Danio rerio: one gene and its partner. The protein of the gene in region 1 purifies or fractionates together with the protein of each later gene. This does not show direct contact. Links are inferred from orthologs where the notes say so. Each region holds a gene or a part of one and is shown on either strand. Other genes may lie near its edges.

Region 1 (3,832 bases):
TCCAGGTTTCACCATTTCCAGATGCGAAAAGCTCTCAGGTAAAAATGTTACTTACAAGCATATTTTTGTTGCGTGTTAGCAGACCACTGTAATCCACAAAGGTGGGTCCACACAGGAACTTTGCTCTCATCACGAGGTAATGAAAACTAAATTTTCGTTGTGGCACATGTATAAACACAACACTGGCCAACCATGTCTCCCAACAATACTACTCTTATTAGTTTGAATTACGGTTGGCAACACGTGGCGTCTCTCTGAACATGTAACAGGTGAAAACAGTAGGGATGTAACAGTATCAGAATTTCACGGTACGGTAATACCTCGGTATGAATGTCACGGTACGGTATTTATTGAATCATTTACAGGAAAAACAAAACTTATGAAAATACTCCAAAAAAGCGCCAAAAGTGTCAATGACATACAAATTAGCCTATCTGTAAGCTTTGAAACAGGAACTTCAATTTTAATAACTAAAAATTATTAAACCATGTAAAAAAATAAAGTTTCAATTTATTATTGTTGAAAACTCATCACATTCAACATTTAATCACTCACTCACTCACTTAGATAGAGATGGGTTTTACGGAAAATTATCATATAACTATAATGTGGTAAAAACTGGGATCTCTGGGATCCCCTGCAACAGAAAAAAACCCTCTCATTTGGGACTGAGGTTTCTGGGACAGAGATATGACTTGGCCCAGGTTGACAGCAGTGGGTGACGTTGTGCATTGTCTTTCCCCCACTTTAGAGGACAAGCCATGAGTGAGATACAGGTCTCTTTGCGGTACAAGTCAATGTCTGCATCAATCTGAACAGTGTGCTGTTTTTCTGCAGTCCCCATCACTGTTATTAGTCGTATTCCCCAACTTGCAGGCACGTGCACACATAGGGCTCAACCTGTGCAGTGCACATGCCCTTTTTAGTCTTGGATAGAAAGTGCCCTTCCAAAATGATCAAAAGTGCCCCCGCGAGGCGACACACCCTCCGTCCCGCCCTTCAGTAGGCGCGCGACAACACCGATCTTGAGTATGCGCGCTCAAACCCCAACCCCGAGTTTTATCGAGTCATGCGACTACAGTAATATCGGAAAAAATTGCTTTTGCGGTATGACGGTATTTACAATACCGTTACATCCCTAAAAAACAGTCTTCGAAGCTAAATCATGCATATTTTTGAAGTTCACAATAGAGCACCCTGATTGGTTCGAACCAAGTCTTTCTAATGAATTTATGATGTGCTGAAAACTCAAGGACGTCACTTTGTACCGGCTGGTACAGACAGCCAATCTCTACGCTGGAACTACACGATGATCTCATTGCTTGACGTTGAACCGGAAGATTGGATTTGCTCTAAACAATTCAAAAACAATCAGTATTCACTTTTTAGAGAAATAAATGTGTCCTAATAGTGTTTTTAGCAACGTGACACATTTAGATGACTGTCAACATGTCAGAAAATGTGTTTTGCTTTTTCCTGATCCTTTAAGAACGATTGAGCATCTATGTAAAGATAATATTTGGATGGTGTTTTCATAATTTTGCAATATTTTGGAATACTTGTAGTGTGGTTATCTTGGCTCTTCTCAAACGCTGCTACAGTCCTCATCATTTGCATTTGAAAGTATCACCAAATAATCTTGAAAACTAAACACAGTTTCTTGTGTCCGTTCAAATTTTAGCTTCAGTCTCTGCTGTTCCAGTTGGTGAGGTGCTCAGTTCCAGTGTTCCTGAGATTGCGGCATCATCCAGCTCCACCGTACAGACAAAACCGGACTCGCAGAGTCCGATAGGAAATGCTGTGACATCGTCTTCCAGCGGTGAGGAGAAAGGGGAAGGGACTGATGGGGTGGAAGAGTTGACAGGTACAGCGAGTGCTTTCCAAAATTTCACATTCTTTTTACATTAAGACAGGCCTCCTTTGTGAACTGCTGTTCATACCCACACTAACAGTAGATCTTCCGTTTTATTGTGCTGCATCAAAGGCCCTGCTGGCACAAGAGACCATGTACTGTTCCCAGTAACCCTTGTTCAGTATTCCTGCTTACAGAACAGCACTGGATGTCTGCCATTTTCTTTGGTAGAACATACTAACAGAGAATGTTTTAAGATTTACCATGTTTTATAACAGTATTTGGGTACTCACTGCAGCATTAATGTTTTGTGACAACTGAAATGGGATGCTACTGTACTTCATTTTTTTTTTTTTCAATTCAAATGTCCTATATGTATTATGTGTTCTGTTGTTAATATGGGCATGATGTCACACATCACTATTGTAATGTGTCTCCTCAGGTAAGAGCTCAGAGGGTGCCTGTCATGGGGAAGGGGATTCTGTACTGGAGGCTGAGCTAGCTCAGACAGCAGATGAGAACAGCTGCAGCAGTCATTTCTCCATCTCTGAATGCCTACGGGGTCCAGATGAGCCTGATCTGGTGGATCGATCCTCTCAATCCTCTCTCAACAGCCAAGATGACACAGGTGTCTACACACACAGAAATAAAGATCTTTTTTTTTAGTTTTACAATGTTTGTGTGTACTCGACAATTCAAATGTTTTATTTACCCTTATTCTACAAAGAAATCCTTTCCTTTCTCTTTCTTTGACGGTAGAATTAATAATAGGCTTTATGTGCTGTATAGAATATCTCACCCGCTTGACTGGTTTAGCTTGTTGCAGAAGTAAAAAAAATAAAAATATCAGTGCAACAATTATACTTTAATAAATCATAAACATGATCATCGAGATTTTATTTAAAGTGGCAGTAGAATTGTTTTTGGAAAGAGATACAAATAAACCCACAGGATGTTGAATTAGAAATATTAATTTGCTGTCATTTTTTATCTACTGTATCAAAGCTATAGAAGCTGAGTTAATGTATGAATTGGTTTCAATAGAAAAAAAATTCCTGACCAATGTAAAATGTACATATGTACATAACATGTTGAAATTAATGTTTTTATTTTAGGTGATGGCAAAGCTAATGGAGACAGCACAAAGACAGCATCTTCACGCATGATTACACGACTCCGGAATCCTGATAGCAAGCTAAGCCAACGCAAGGTCATGCAGGACAAAGATGGCAGCTCTCAGGATGGTAGCAGAGCACTTAAAGAGGTGAGACCACTGTCTTTTTTTAAATAATGTTCTGTTTGTTTAGTTATATTTGCTCATTCATGAACTTGTATTGCTATTGTGCAAATTAACCAAATGATACCAGAGGTCTTTAGCCAAAAAAAGTTAATGTTGAGTTTCTTTAAAAAAATATGAAATTACTGCTAAAAGTATATATCTACATGTTTTTGTAAATCATTTGTATGTTCTTTTAGACTCCTCCGCTGTCGTCCTTTGGCACCTTTAAGAGAGATTCAAGCAAGAGCAGTGGCTTTTTCAAATTGGGCCAGGAGGGCAAGTTTCGTGTCTACCACAACCAGTACAGCACTAACACACTTGCACTGAATAAGCATCAGCATCGAGAAGACCACGACAAACGCAGACATCTCTCCCACAAGCTCTGCATGACCCCAGCTGGTGAATTCAAGTGGAACGGATCACTGTATGGCTCAAAAGCTCTGACTGTATCCACTCTGAGATTAACCATCATCCAGCTGGAAAACAATATTCCTGCTCCATTCTTGCATCCCAACTGGGCATCACACAGGTCTTGATGAGTACCCATGGATGTTTTTTTATTCTGAATGTAGCAATTTGACTAAGTAATAATTCTGTGATCTTTTTTTTATTGTTGTAGGTCAAACTGGATAAAAGCTGTCCAAATGTGCAGCAAGGCAAGAGAGTTTGCTTTAGCTTTGGCCATTCTGGAGTGTGCAATC
Region 2 (3,156 bases), about 640 kb from region 1:
CAAAATATGTTAAATAGAAGAAAGAAACTCATAAAAGTTTGAACTAAGTGAAGATTAAGTAAATTATGACAGAATACATTTTTTTGGATGAACTGTCTCTTTAATACAACAATTAATACAACCTATTGCATTTGATGGAGAAGAATGATAGACAAATGTCCTTCAATATTTAATGAAAGAAATATTTTTGAGCAAAGTAAGGTCTGTGGTAAACATATCCTAAATATTTTGTTCTCCAACATGAACGGCAGGTCATTATGGCGGGTCTTACGCAGGCATGGGAGGAGAGAGCTCATCTTCAGGAGGAGAACTAGAGGCTGGAGAGTTAGTGATTGACGACTCCTACACACGTCTCTCCAAAAAGAAGAAAAAGAGCAAGAAAAGCAAAAAGAAAAAAGATAAAGAGCGAGACCGAGATCGAGAGAAAGGATCCCGCGAGAAGAAACACAGCAAAGGAGGAAGTGGAGGGAAGAAAAGCAGTCAAGGTGAGACACATTTAAGTTTACTTAAGGTGAGGGATTCTACAAAAAAAAAATGCTGGTCATGGTATTTTCTGAACTATGGAGTGATAAAAAAATAAATACTCATAAATCAAAACACGAGTTTTAAACCTGATTTCTTTCATTGTTCAGATTTTTGTATTTAAATATATGCAAATGAGTGCATATTCAATTAAATAATTCCTTATTTGCACAATTAATACACAAAATGTCTGAAATTCTTGATGCAATTTACCTAGAGAACTACAGGGGTTGGACGATGAAACTGAAATGTCTGGTTTTAGACAACAATGATTCATTAGGATGGTGTAGGACCTCCTTTTGCAGCCAATACAGCATTAATTCATCTTAGGAATGAGAGATACAAGTCCACAGTGGCTGGAGGGTTTCTGAACCATTATTGCAGAATACTGGCCCAGTCACTATGTGATATGGTGAAGGAAAATGTTTTTGACTCGCTCCTCCAAAACACTTCAAAGTGGCTTAATAATATTTGAATATGGTGACTGTGCAGGCCATGAGAGATGTTCAACTTCACTTTCATGTTTATCAAACCACTCTGTCACCTGTCTTGCTATGTATATTGTTGCATTATCATCCTGACACACAGCACTGCCTTCAGTATACTATGTTTGACCCATTGGGTACTCATGGTCCTCCATAATGTATTGTTAGTCCTTGGCAGTGACACACCCAACAAGCAGAACCCAGATGTTGAAAAATCAGTGAAGGTGTACTCATCAGAGGACAATACATGTTTCACATTGTCGATAGCCCAAGATTTTCTCAACGTTTGGCATTACCACGAGTTACCAAAGGTTTGCCTATAGCAGCCTGGCCACCCTGTGGAGCTCCCTGAATACAGCGTTGGTGAAAACAGGAGAGTTAAGATGCACATTTAATTCTGCAGTGAGTTGGGCAGCTGCAGTTTTATGTTTTTTTAATACAATCTGTTACCACTCAGTCGTCCATTTCAGACAGTTCCACAGTTACTCCTTTTGGATGTAGTTCATCCTTCTTGGTGGTATGCTGACATTAGCCTGGATACCGTGGCTCTTGATACATTATAAACACTTGCTGTCTTGGTGACAGATGTGCCAGCGAGACATGCACTAACAATTTGTCCTCTTTTTGACCTCTGATATGTCACGCATAATGTTATGTGCATTGCAATATTTTAAGTAAAACTGTGCTATTAAGCTGCGGTCACACTAGAGTTTGTGTGTGCAAAATTCTGTCGTATGGCGCTGCGAAAAGGGGCGGCTTAAAACAAGATACTTAGACATTAAAAAAGTGAGCGATTGCTCCATGTCTTAAATTTCTGTCCAGAGGGCATGTTCTGATCCTTGATTGGTCTCACGCAGTCAAGTGATGCGATTTTTGACACATGACCCTGCGCTTCCGGTCTGATGCATTCGTGTGCATATGAATGGAAGTTTATGGGGAGAAAAGTCAAGTGTGACCGCAGCTTTACTCTGCTAATTAAACCATCACACTCTGCTCTTACTTGTGGAATGTGCAATCAATGAAGATTGGCCACCAGGCTGGTCAAATTTAGCCATGAAACCTTCAACACTAAATTGGCTAGTTTTGTTTTTTAATACTTTTTGAATACTTTTTGAGTGCCTTGGACTTTCATTAGTTTTATTGTTTATTTTTATGAATCCCTTATCCAACGTGCACTGACACATTACCTGTCCCTGAAGCACTTTTTGTTTGATTTAAATTTCTCTCCGCGCAAACCAGGGGATCAGCCTAGAAGCCACTCCCACACTCACAGCTCATCCAATCACAGCTCTTCCGGTGGCATGTACCCTATGGCTCCGCCCACCTCATCGCATCAACATCAAAGCATTGAACTAATAGGCGAGAAGAAAAAGAAAAAGGAGGAAAAAGAGCGAGACAAACATGACAAGGACAAGGTCAACTAAATCACTTTATTACAGCTTTGGAAGCGACTTGAGGTTTGAATTTCACCATTAATTATATTCTCTCCTTCATCCTATCAGCCGAAGAAGAAGAACATGACGGCCTATCAGGTGTTCTGTAAAGAGTACAGGGTCAATATCAACGCAGAGCAGCCTGGATTAGGTGAGAGAGAACCCATGTGCACTGCTGTCAATCATCTTGTGCTGTTTGGTGACTGGTTGAATCTTGTTCAGTTTTCGGGGAGCTGAGTAAGAAACTCGCAGAGGTGTGGAAACAGCTGCCGGAAAAAGATAAACTGGTCAGCGCTTTTTATCTCTACCTTTTAAATACCTACCTTTTTATAAGTGGGTTAGACATTTTACATTGTTGACTTTTTGTGCTTGAAAGTGATGGTAGAGGTTTGTAATTTCAGTTGAATGTGCGACATTGCTGAACATCCTGTTTTTCTGTGCCGTTTCTGACACTGAAGGTATGGAGACAGAAAGCTCAATATCTCCAGCACAAGCAGAATAAAGCTGAAGCTATGACCGTCAAGCGGAAAACCTTAACAACCTCAGACAGTAAAAGTAAAGGTGAGACCAAAGCATATCAGTTCATGTTTTCAGTCTCGCACACTTCATATTCTGACTCACGCATCAACACATTTCCTTTAATATCCCTGTGTATCTGTTTGTTTCAGGCTCCAGTAAAGCGTTTAGTTTAGGGTCAGGTTTGGCCCCTCAGGGCC

What was found.
Region 2: the proteins of bptf (region 1) and hmgxb4a fractionate together in Homo sapiens (co-fractionation; 3 studies listed by BioGRID, with this or other methods). This does not show direct contact. The link is inferred for Danio rerio from reciprocal best matches to the Homo sapiens genes BPTF and HMGXB4.

What each region holds. Positions count from the first base shown.
Region 1 is NC_133178.1:24,151,517-24,155,348, reverse strand, and holds part of bptf (nucleosome-remodeling factor subunit BPTF), read left to right. Parts: intron 1-1,681; coding exon 1,682-1,864; intron 1,865-2,294; coding exon 2,295-2,480; intron 2,481-2,967; coding exon 2,968-3,116; intron 3,117-3,328; coding exon 3,329-3,660; intron 3,661-3,750; coding exon 3,751-3,832. UniProt on the Homo sapiens protein: Regulatory subunit of the ATP-dependent NURF-1 and NURF-5 ISWI chromatin remodeling complexes, which form ordered nucleosome arrays on chromatin and facilitate access to DNA during DNA-templated processes such as DNA replication, transcription, and repair.
Region 2 is NC_133178.1:24,791,161-24,794,316, forward strand, and holds part of hmgxb4a (HMG domain-containing protein 4a), read left to right. Parts: intron 1-251; coding exon of another isoform or gene 252-275; coding exon 276-485; intron 486-2,246; coding exon 2,247-2,422; intron 2,423-2,509; coding exon 2,510-2,591; intron 2,592-2,662; coding exon 2,663-2,727; intron 2,728-2,898; coding exon 2,899-3,001; intron 3,002-3,108; coding exon 3,109-3,156. UniProt on the Homo sapiens protein: Negatively regulates Wnt/beta-catenin signaling during development.